3 linked regions of the Coturnix japonica genome follow. The protein of the gene in region 2 interacts with the protein of the main gene of each other region in a pairwise test. Links are inferred from orthologs where the notes say so. Each region holds a gene or a part of one and is shown on either strand. Other genes may lie near its edges.

What was found.
Region 1: the proteins of CDR2 (region 2) and CHIC2 interact in binary tests that used the Homo sapiens proteins (3 or more experiments, as listed by UniProt). The link is inferred for Coturnix japonica from reciprocal best matches to the Homo sapiens genes CDR2 and CHIC2.
Region 3: the proteins of CDR2 (region 2) and HDAC4 interact in binary tests that used the Homo sapiens proteins (3 or more experiments, as listed by UniProt). The two-hybrid records come from large-scale screens. The link is inferred for Coturnix japonica from reciprocal best matches to the Homo sapiens genes CDR2 and HDAC4.

What each region holds. Positions count from the first base shown.
Region 1 is NC_029519.1:59,090,780-59,094,424, reverse strand, and holds part of CHIC2 (cysteine-rich hydrophobic domain-containing protein 2), read right to left. Parts: intron 2,965-3,645; coding exon 2,910-2,964; intron 2,763-2,909; coding exon 2,607-2,762; intron 1-2,606.
Region 2 is NC_029529.1:8,363,017-8,367,131, forward strand, and holds the start of CDR2 (cerebellar degeneration-related protein 2), read right to left. Parts: upstream 2,808-4,115; 5' UTR 2,597-2,807; coding exon 2,518-2,596; intron 1-2,517.
Region 3 is NC_029522.1:2,887,141-2,891,560, reverse strand, and holds the start of HDAC4 (histone deacetylase 4), read right to left. Parts: upstream 2,932-4,420; 5' UTR 2,822-2,931; exon of another isoform or gene 2,814-2,821; intron 2,440-2,813; exon of another isoform or gene 2,346-2,439; intron 1-2,345. UniProt on the Homo sapiens protein: Responsible for the deacetylation of lysine residues on the N-terminal part of the core histones (H2A, H2B, H3 and H4).

The sequences.
Region 1 (3,645 bases), on a different chromosome or scaffold from region 2:
CAATCAGGCTTGCAAATGCCTATGATTTAAAAAATGCCTAGTTTGAAGGACTTGATTTAACAAGACAAATCCATAACTTAATTTTCACATAAATGCACAAAAATAAGCATATATGCTTGTTATATAAGCAACCATTCGAAGTGTGTAGCTTCAAAATATGTTACATTTGTGACTGCATTCACATATTAGAATTCAAAAAGTCATTGTGAGCAGCAAAGAAAAAAAAAACAAGAGAATTACTGTTTATTTATTATTATTCAAAACTCTGAAATTGCTGTTTTCATTTCAAGTCTTCCTCAGCCAGTTCCAGGATTAAGAGTTCAATTTGGGAAAGCACTCCTGTACTTGCTAGTTAATTAACTCTCCTCTATATTATAGTCATCAGCTCACCCGACTGAGTTCACAGGTCTTCACCTGATAGACAATAATCCTCTAAGCAGACATCTATATGTTGTGCTGCTGATACAGACAAATGATGTTGCCACAACATCTGACTTAAAGGATTTTTATTCCACAGCAATAATCAAACAGCCTGAACAAATGTATTCAGTGCTATCAAAAAGGCTATAGGCATAAATTCTAGTGCCACTACACCACTCACAGTGGCACAACACAATGTTCAGGCAGCTGAGTCCTACCTTTAATTTCACTGGGGTTTAAGCTTGTAAATCCAGCATGAATCACTCATCTTCAGTGCAGGAAAAAGTATGGAATTCCTTAAGTAATTTCTTCTGAACAGGGCATCCATACATTGTTTCCAGATTTATCCTTCAGGAAGAGAGCTTGCCATAACTCCCATCCCAAGCTAACTTCAACTGAAGCACTCCTCTGTTGCTTCACTAGGTTCATACACAGAACCTCTTTCCTCAGACTGAAACTCTGTTTCCTGGCTCCAGATACTATGAGCCCTTACCTTTTCTCTGACTATTAAACAATGAATTAAGAAGTTGATTACTAGTAGTGACTTTCAGTGCTGGATTAAGGGGCATCAGCCTCGTCCTCCCAAAAGCAGCTTTACTTTTATGACCATGTTACATTCTGCTACAACAGCTCATTACTTGAGAAGAGGGACAAAACTTAAGAACATCAGAAGCTTTCGGCTTTGAAGTTACACAGGGACAGTAGAGATGTGAGTTTCCCTTGTGTTTTTAACAAACAGAGCTAGACTGGAACAGAAAATAGTTATCTCTGCAAGCTGGTTAGGGCACCAATTTATCTGTTGAATGAATCAGCTGATTTCCTGCAGTAGACTTTCAGGATATGGATATACAGTCATCCTACAGGAAACTCACTAGTTCGTAACAGCTTAAAGGTACAAAACCAAGGGCTTGAAATAATTCAAACTGACAACTGTATCTTTCCAAGGACTCCAATATTACCAGCAGGTTAATCTACATACATTTAAAACTAATTTAAAGTAATCCCTTCAAGAGAGTATTTGTTAAGATTTACACAAAAAATTGGACAAAAGAAATCTGCTCTATTCTTTTCTGTTTGTTTGCTTTCAGTACATGGGAGTTTCAGGAGTTCAGACATAGCTTTTATAACATATAATGGTAATACCAATACTAAAACTACAAAAGGAGCTTGCACAACTTCTGGTTTTAGCAACACCACTTGCTCAAGCAGGTGTGCATTTGTGCAGAAGCCTTCATCTGCAAATGCTTGATCAGTATTGAAAAGATGAGCAAATAAAATTATAAGCTCACATTGCAGAAGCATACAATCACTGTCAATTTTAGAGCATTGATTTACTGACTGTGTAAAATGAGGTCCTCAGTAAAGAAAAGCACGATAGCGCTCAGTGTACAGTACAATGATTTGCAGCATTAACGGGTATTACACAAGATGGATTACACACAAGCATCACCGTGAACTGGAAAGATTTACAGTGCCAATACAAGAAGAGGATGGCAATGCACAGAGACTTCTTGCAAATAAGTGAAATGGGATTAGCCAAAATTTTTACACATGTGAGAACAGAAGAGATGGGGAGGGTTGCAAAATTACTTGCAATGGGATTAGGGAGGTAAAAAATTAGGCACATGCAAAAAGCTTTTGTTATGAACAACACACCAAGTGTTGCAGACTCAGACAAAACACTAATTTCTAGCTGTCAGTGCAAGAAAAAAATACCTTACTCATCTCCAGCTTGGAAGAAAGGTAAAACAATCTTTAAAAAATTCATTTGTAAATGCAAGCATATGGCTACTTAGGTCACAGTATAACTAGAAACTACTCATAAATACCTTTCACAACAGTCAATGCCCAATTCTGATGATTCCTAACAGAATCACAGAGAAGCTATTAAAAATGCACAGTTATTACTTTAACAGTAAGTGCTGTACAGCACATGGCTCTAGCAGAGACACTGTGCTAAACTACGAGTCACAGAGTTGTAAGCTCAGCATTCTGACTGGTGCCTATTTTAAGTGGTATGACAGACAAGAGAGATCAAAACATATGAAATCAAACTCATCTACGTAAGCAGTAGTATATTTTATTAAAGCTGCCAAGAAAAAAGAGGATATGAGAAAAAAGAGGAAAAATAAAGGAGCAAAGCCAATACAATTCTGACTTACAAAAATAAGAATAGTTCAACTTACTCTTTTACTGAGGCAGATAACTGGCCACATACTACAACCTAAAGTGCAGCAGCAGCAAAGGCATCCACAAAGTAGCCATCGTACATTAACTGGAAGGTTCTTCTTAAGACAACTGTTAACTCTACTGATGCTGGCTTTAAATTCCTCAGGAGCAACCTACAAGAAAAAACAAACTACCTATTACCACAACAGTGTGATTTATTACTCTGTGAATGGACCATGACTTAAGCTTTTGCTTTTTTAATAGCAAAAGTCTTAAATCAAATTCTATTTTTTTGTTGTTGATGCTGTTCAGATACTCACCTTTCCAGTTAAAGATGAAGGAAATTCTGCTTCAAATTTGTTGCTTAGTCCAAACCTGAAAAAACAAAATGATATTCATACCAGAATCAGAAAGCTATGAATACCTGATATGAACCCTAAGAACAGCATCAATTTAAGAAAAAAAAAAAAAAAAAAAAAAAAAAAAAAAAAGTATTTCCTAAAGGTAATTACCATCCTACCAGACAGAAATATGCAATTATAAACAGTCTGGAATTCATCTTGCCTCCAGTCTCTTTTAAAGTTCCCTTGACATTTGCAGACTCTTCCTTAAACTCAGCAAAATCTTTATAAGCAACTGTATCAAATATGAAAAAGGAGAAGAATTTAAAGGAGGAAAGGTAACAAGACAGTACAAATCCTCCCACTCCACCCAGTACATACGCATCTTGAAGAGAAGCTCATTTAGCAGGATCTAAGCAGAGTAACACCAAATTGGTCTAAGCATAGAAATGGGTTCAGTAACACCTTGCTTATTCAGAAATAATAACAATAACTAGTTAGATTGTATTTTGTGTTCTGAAACTTACTAAATGTGGTTTAAGTGCTAACTTGAAACAAACAAACATCCATATCAATTGAGAATTGAAAGCTATGAAAAAGTCTTAGATGAACTAGGATTACTGGCTGTTCTAGGTCATGGAAGTAATGAGTGTCACCTTGTCTTCAAAAAAACAAGAAGACTGAAAATCCTGTTTGTTTTCTATCTTACAGTTGG
Region 2 (4,115 bases):
AATCACCTCCAGGGTACAGTGACTGTAGTTGTTTCATATTAAGAAATAAGTCATCTGAACACCCAGCTCCTTTCTGAAGGGAAGCAGCATGAGTATTGCTAGATGTTTCATATTATTATGTTTAAAGATGCATGCAATTTAAAAACTAACATAACGTGATGAAATCAATCCTGTGTTATTGCTAAAATAGTAACTACACTGTGCAGGTATTACATGTTCCAAATTCAACAGATTTCTAACGTTACTTTTCACCTCCTTCCCATTACCTGGGTCTGACCAGGTTTCTCCTGCATGCAGGCAGCCTTGTTAGTTCTCATATGGGTAGGGATAGCATCACTAATGGGAAAGAAGCAGAAGGAGGTTCAAGAAAAACCCAGATTCTCTTTAAGATGCCTGAAATGAATACATGAGACATACTGCATCACCCGCTGTTCTAGTTAGACAAGAAAACATTCTCAGTTTTCATGTGATTAAGATGCCCTTGTTTTAAGGTGTTTCTCATCTCCTTCCTGCCCTTCCCCAGTTCCCTTATCAGCTGGTTGCTGTAGCAGACAGAGGGCTGTTCCCAGACTGCTTTGTGCTAACCTTCACTTTGGCAGCATGTCTGAAGTGAGCACTTGGTCCAGATACATAAACCAAAGACTGAATTCAGACCAAACAGAAAAATGTTCCCATTCACTTGTCTGTGTAAGCTGTAGATGTCCTGCTCAGGACAAACAACAGCTGTGGTATCCATTACATGTACTTTAAGGTAGGAAACAACGGGCTGTAGCTGTCAGATGCTTTGAATAATGTTTCTGGAATTTATTTACAACAAATCACCCTGCATACAAGTTCTTGTTAGAGCTGGGAGCCGCGTGGCTCGCTGCTTTACACTTCGCAGTTTATCCTCACATAGCTTTTTTGTTGTAACACCCCTTGTTAAGAAACACAGCCTATTTCAGGGCTTTTTCTCAAACTGCTACCCCTAGAAAAGGAAAGAATTGAACCAATCTGACCTGTTCTGAAGTTAACAATTTATTGTGCACCCGTGTCTCTACATTGCAGATACCTACAGTCAAATGTAGAGTGCATTCTCCTGATACAGGAGAACACGTTTGTCTGAGAGTCACTCTGTGATACTAGAAGCACGCAGCACTTTTATGTGAACATCCTACAACAATTCTGCTTTTTTCCTGTTACCTGTTGGCAGCGTTTCTGTAGCTGAGCAAAAGACAGAACGTGGTACTAAACTCTTATTTTATGCTTTCATAGCCCATCTAACAAAGCAATTCAGATGATTTTTGTTCTAAAAGTAAGTCTATTCAGTAGTAGAATGCCTTTGTAGTACAGGATGTCTAAGTTGAAGTCTAACTGTAAAATTAAACTAAGTGGAAGTTTGTCCAGCTGCTGCCCTCCCTGAGCTCCTGGGCAGGCTGTGAAGGGCTGCAGGTTTGTGTTCAGTGATGTGTCCTCACAAACGCACTCCTTGATTTCTACACGTGCTCTGGTTGGTGGGTTGTGATAAGTTTCACTAGTGCCCAGCCTTGCTGCTCCATTTATGTGCACTTGTGTTGCTTGGTTTTAGAATGATGACTATTTTCCAGACTGTACAAGTCCACTATAGCAGGACGTTTCACAGATGTTCCCTTAAGGAACCTATCTGCATTTCAGCCTGCCCATCGGTTCACTTTCTCCTTTCCCTCTGGCAGGCTGTCAGTGCCTTCCACTTGGGCTCGTGAGAAGCTGATCCTTCGGAAGAGACGTTCCAGGTGCAGGGAGAGCAGTCAGCGACCCCTGGAGCGGAGCAGTGCCCAGCCCCGGCCGGGAACCAAGGGCGAGTATTCGCTCACGGTGGCAAAGAGCGAAGTTGAAGCAGCACGGCAGGAGAGCAGCACGGCTCCACCATGCACATCTTCTACCCCACAAATAACGACGCGGAAAAATACCAAACCCTGACTTCAGATTTTCAGCTCATCCCTTTGACAGCAAACAATGGCTTCAGCACCTCATTTCAATGGATCTCTTTATAACCTGTGGCCGCGGCAGCATCCCGCACACACACACACAGCACGCGGAGCAGCGCTGCCGCCTCGGGACGGTTCCCAGCGCTGCCCTGTGCCTCGTACGGCGGGTTCCGACTCAGCTCCCGCACGGAGCAGCCGCCCGTCCCGCCCGGTCCGAGCTCCGGAGCTCCCGGCTCGTTCTTTCCATCGCCGCGTCCGCCGATGTCTGTACCGCAGATCCATCGCCGTGTGCCCGCGGCTCAGCCGGTACCGTTTCTCCCTCCCGCGTGGTCCCGCCGCCCCATCCCGGCCGTGCTCCATCGGGCGCAGCCCCCGGAGCCGCCCCGCTGCCGGCAGGGCCGGGCACGGCAGCAGCCGCCCGTTCCGTCAGACAAAGCCGCACCGTGCCGGTACCGGCGGTCCCAGCTCCCGCCCCGTGCTCTCCCCGCCGCCGCCCCGCGCTCCTCCATCCGCCCCGTCCCCTCCGCCCGACCCCCCGCCCCGCCGTGCCGTGCCGTGCCGTGCCGCCCACCTTGCTGCAGGTCCTGCTGGTCGTACCACGGCTCATCCTCGCGGATCTCGAACTCCTCCACCAGGCTGTCGGCCAGCATCGCGCTCTCCCCTCTCGGTCCGGTGGCCGCGCTCACCTCGCGCCGGGCGGCGGCGGGGCCGGGCGAGCCGGCAGCTCGTCGCCTTACCAGCCGGCTCCGGGCATTGCCGAGCGGTTCCGGACTTTGCCGAACCTCTCCCCCTTCTGGTCGGGCCGCGCGGAGCCGCCGGCGACAACGTGGCACGGAGCGACCGCCCGCCCACCGCCGGGCCGCGATTCAAACACTACGCCCCGCCTCCTCTGCCGACAGCCAATGGGGAGCCGCCCGCAGGGCAGATCGAAAGGAGCGCCGGCCAACCAGGAGGCGAGTCCGTGGCGGGCGGCCAATGAGAGAGGAGGAGGGGTCGGTCCCGCCTGGCCGGCCCCGCCCCAGCGTCCCGCTGCGCGGCCTCCGGGCGGAGGAGGTCGGTGGTGCCCGCGGGAGGGGCGGCGGGAGCGGGGCCGGTGACGGGGCCGGGGCTGGCGGTGGTGTCGGTGCCGCGGGTTGTCTCGGTGCGGCTGAGGCGGCACGGGGCGCTGGGAGCGGGGCAGGGCGTGGCAGCTGCCCGGCCGTGCTGCTGCGTGTCCCCGCGGGGCGTCTCCTCACGCGGAGCCCCTCATCGCCTCGTGAGGCCCCTCAGCCCCTCAGCTGCTGCCGCTCCCTGTGAGGGCTCTGACAGGACGGCTCCGTCCCTTGGCTCCCTGTGCCGCTCTGTGCGCCCCGCAGTGCCGGGCAGCCCAACCTTCTCCTCCCGGCTCTCCCTGAGCGGTGCCGGTTCTTTGCTGTGCCCGGCGCTGCAGCAGGAGCAGCCGTTGCGCTGTGCCTCAGCCCGCAGCGCTTTGTGCTGTGCGGGGCGGCTCACGCGTGTTAATTGCTGTACAATTAAAGAGCACGTCTGTGGGGCAGGGAGGTGTGTGGGACCTCAGCTCCTCCAGGAGCCGGTTCATAAACGAGCCGTGCCAATAACGCAGGGAGCCGAGTCAGACCCTGCGCGCAGCTGTGAGTCATGGCGCTGGAGGCGCATTGTTCGGAGCCTTTTGTGAAACAAACGATACTTGGGAGTTTTCTGGAGCGACGGGAGCGATTTGTCTCTTATTCGTGCGTAGGAAGGAACTGAGTCAATACGGCTCGAGAATGTTAATGCCCAGCGTGTATCCGAGGGAGATGCCCGCGGTTCTGCACTGGAACCTGCCCAGGGTCGCAGCCCCGAGGTCTCACATACGTTCGGTGTATTTGTGAAGATGTGGATACACCTTCTAACAAGAACACGATGTTTTCAGTAGCGAATCACCCTTCACGTTTTCTTTATATCCCTCTTTTGAAGCATGAACGTTTCACGCGGCCATCGTTTCAATGCTGTTGTTCTTTGTAGGTTTCTCGGTTCAGTTTATGAAGCCGAACTCGTTGGGGAGGTGCAAAGTGTAATCACCTGGAAATGGGAAATTCCGTAACAGATGAATTTGATGACATGCATGACGGCCCCGCTCAATTATCTGCAAATTGAGTCATGTTCTTACCGATAAATGACCTTTGGATGTTG
Region 3 (4,420 bases), on a different chromosome or scaffold from region 2:
GCGTTCCAGGAATGCAGCCCAAAGGTGCTGAAAAACAATGCCAGTGGTCTTCCAGTGTGGCATGCCCAGCGTTCAGCCAAGCAAGAACACAAGCACCTCTCGTGTTGTCAGCCCTCAGTCCCTGAGGTCAGGCTGTGCAGCAGGTTCTAAAGGACATCCAGCATGCAAACTGCTTTCAGCATAAGTTACTTGGTAAGTGCATGGTGAGCTCTTAGCTGTTCTCAGCTCTGGAAACAGAAAGATGACCTGGAGTACCTGACTGTCATATACTACATAGGCAATGGAAACATTCTTCCTCAGCACTTTGTCTTATCTGGTTTGGGGTATGTTCATGCAATAGAAAGGCTGTAGCTGCCTCAGAACTGGAAACCCACAAATGATCAGAGGGAAAGCTTCAGCCATTGCACCAAGCTTCTGATCCCAGAGGCATCTTCCGATGGCTTTAAAGAAGTCTGCTTCAGGGAGCAGCAAGCCACTTCAAAGAGATTAGGAGGGCAACGTAATCTAAACCCACGGGCTCCTGCTCAACTTTACCTTTCATTTTCACTAAGCCCAGCTCCCTGCCCTTGCAGGTCACTGCATGGTTTAATGCTGCAGGCTGGAATCAGCTCCACCTCTCCAGGAACCCATAACCAAGCAGCTCCCTCTTTTTGCTTAATTCTTCCTTCCGTTTCATTCTTTTTTGCTTGTAAGCCAACATAAAGTGATAAATGAGACTCGCTCCCACCAACCACATCACATACTTGGGGCATGGAACCCACTGCCCCCCGACCCTGGCCATACAGCTCAGACCTGCCTACACATCACATAACCAAGGTTGGAAAAGACTCCCTGAGATATCCAGTCCAGCCATCCACCTGCCACCGATATTGCCTGCTAAACCACAGCTCTATGTAAGCAGAGACGGCAAAGAAAACCACAGTGCTGAATGGTTTTGCAGGTCACGGTGCTGCACGGACACACACATCTGAAGGGGCAGCTCCTGTGCAAAGGATGAAAGCTGCCACCCCGTCCTTCCAACCCATTCTGTACAAGCCATTCAAAACACATATCCGGCTGTTCTAAAGCATCCTTGTCACAAAACCAAACCCTGAAGCAAAAACCCAAAGAAATTCAAGAACGGGAAAGATGAATTTTAAAGACTTGAGATTATCAGAATCATTTTCCCCCCCTTCAGTTGAGCCAACCGAGAGCACAGCTTAACGTCAGCGACAACACCTGGCAGGTGCACGTGCCATTCAGAGCAGCAGACACATCCTGGAAAGCACGTTTCACTTGGTACAGAAAAACCTGCAGTGCTAAAAAACTTCCTCTTTCTAACTGGGTGGCATTTTACATCTCCAAATGGAACTGAGTGAGCACATCACCATGGTGACGGGAGGATTCGGCAATAACTTTGGTGCCTTGTAATTGCGGTATATTTGTATACAAGCAGCTGAGCTTTCTTAATTCAATGCCCTCTTAACTCTTTCTGAGAGGCTGAGGAGTGACAAAGGCAGCCTTTGGGCTGGGAACTCCACGCGGCAGCACTGGAAACATCAGAGCAGGCAGAACTCAATGCGGGAGGGGCTGGGGGGGGGGGGGGGAGGAAAAGGAGAAAAAAAGCAGCCTTGCCAAGAAGCAGATTATTATATAAACTTCAGAGCTCCTTAGAAACGTCGCTGTTATCAAAGCATAATTAACTTCAGGTAGCTTTTTGGCAGGGAACACGGCCCCAGCTGGAGGCAGCCCGTGACAGCAGCACATCGCGGCACCGTTAGCGAGCATGGAGCTGAGGACAAGCACAGGGCACCCATCCGACCCAGCACACACAAACCTTCCCCTTCGCTTCAAGGCAGCGTTTTAGGGGAGGCTGGGAGCAACGAGCCGAGTTGGTGCCAACGAGCAAGCGACAAAACCTTCCCGTATCATGCCCCAAAACAATTACGCAAGTGCTTTGAATCAAAGGCCGGTTCAGCTCCCAAATACAGCCCTACCATCATGGCAACTAAGCGCTCCGCAAACACATTCCCCTGCTCAGAGGCCACGCCGCTCGGAGATGATAGCGCCGAGCATCGCTCTGACAAATTCCTGCAGCAAAAGCCCGCAGCACCTCCCTTACGCAGAGCCACGCGCGTTGCAAGCCATCTTTTTTCCCCCTTTTTTTTGTGGTTTGTTTCAAGTTAAGACCCCAACATCGCAGCACAAACCTCATCCCTCGAGCTAAAACACAGCATTTTCGGGGACTTCCACCAAACCCGGGGGCGGTGGGACCGTGCGGGGCCGAGGAGGCGCCAGTCGGTCCCAGTCGGCCCCGCACGGCCCCACCGCCCCCGTCCCACGCCGCCCCCGTCCCCGCCGCTCACCGCTGCCCGCATCGCTCCGCGCCGAGCCCCGCGCGGCTCCGAGGCGGCGCCGCTGCTGCCGGGGGTGGGAGGAGCCACGCGCGGCCGCGAGTGGGCGTGGCCAACGCCGTAGCCCCGCCCCCTTTTGCCTCATTCACAAAAAAACGCCAGCGCCGCCGCCCGGCTGCGGGAGGAGGGGCGAGCGGAAGCCACGCCCCCACCGGGCTCCGCGTCCAATCGCGTCGCACAGCGGCTCAAATCCACCACGAGGGACAACGCGATTGGTGCGCGGAGCTGCCCGTCACCTCCCTCCTGCGGAACCCTCCGCACCGCGCGGCCGGAGCCCGGAGGAAAACAACCGCGCGCCCCGTCGAAGCCTTAGGGAACCACGGGGAGGGCCGGGCCGGGATTAAAAGCCGGCGGGCAGAATCTCGCCCAGCCCTTGTGCCCCGGGGCTACCCGGCCACGCGAGAGGCTCGGCGTACTGACCTGCTTACCGGTGGGAGGAGCGTGGAGCCGTGAGGCGAGAGCTCGGCGGCGGACACGGGCGGCGCGCGCGCCACCAACGGACTCAGCCCGTGACGGGATCCGCCATCTTGGAATTTTTAGATGGAGAGTCACGTGGTGCGACCATTTTTCCCACCGGCCAATCAGGAAGCGCGGGTTATTTATAGCCTCGGCTCCCTCTTTGCACTCCGCCTCATCCCGGCTGGGCGCGCGGCGGGGGAAGGGAACCAATCAGGCCCCGCCTCGGCTCTTAGCCCCGCCCACCCGCGGCCGTTGGGCGCCGTCCGTTGGGTTCCTCAGGAGTCCCGTCACACAGCGGAGCTGCTCTATCGCTGTGTGTTACCCCGGGCAGGTATTAATTACCCTGGGCTGCTATTAAATGTGGAGGTTGGTGGCCTTGCACGTAGCGCAGGGTTGGAGCTTCGTGATCCTTGAGCCCCCTTCCAAACCAACCATTCTACAATCTACAATCGTGATTCTTCTATGCTTGAGCCTACAGCCTATAGTGTGTGTCTAAGGATATACTGCCACTTCTGCATAAAGCTGAAGCCCTTTTTTGTCTCGTTTTTACCATCTACTGGCTTGTGGGCTTGTTTGTTTGTTGTTTTTTTGGTCAGTGAGGTTTTAGGTTTCCTCCTATGGTCGTTCTGCTATCTTTATTCTGGGCCGGTTTGTGTGCTCACGTGTATGTATGCCTGCATGTATAAATAAGCTGCTAAATTATTTTAAAGTGTCCAGAGACGTGTGGGGATAAGTGCTTTAGGTCTAGAGGTTCACAAGTGCAGACTGTGCAGCCAACAAGGCAATACTGATCTATGCCACAAGCTGCCCAGTGCATGGAATGAGCGGTGGCCATAGCAGGACCCATGTATGGACAGCTGGGTGGCTGCCTGCCCTCTCCTGAGGCTTCCTATTTCTTGGGCTGCTGCAAGGTGCTTTGCACACCAACATACTTACAGGCATTGCTTTGCTTAAGTGGTCCCTGAAGCAAATCAGTGCTCCCCATATGTGCCCTGGATGCTCTCCTGCAGCTCCAAGCTGGCTGGGTCTATCACCTCCAATGCCTTCTACATGGCTGAAGGTATTTTAGAAAGATGAAAGAAGAGAAAGAAAATTGCACCCTTCAAGTTGCCATGGAGTGTAAGTTTTATCTTCCAAATTTGATTGATGCGGTACTTGTGGCCGTGGGTGTGAATATGTGTGTGTCTATTAATATCCAGTCTAGGCTAACCTGTGCATAATGACAGAAAATTAAACCCTGCCATTGTTCCTATAAACTAGAATTCAGACGTGAGCAAGAAAAAACGTTCTTCCTATATGTGAAAGCTGACTGTATGTAGTATAGTCTGTTTTTACTGTAATTGCAGCTGAGAAGTTTACTTAAAAGCTATTTGAATTAAAGGAATTGGCAGAGCTAATTCATAAAGACTGAAATAAAATGCAATTACTGAGCTTCCCGCCCACCTCCACCTCGTCTCTATCTGAATTCCACTTGTTTGTCAAAAAGGGTCCATTTTTTGATGTCCTTAAGCAGGTAACATCCATCACGACGCTCCAGCTCGTTTCCGTACCCAGTCACAGCAATCTGG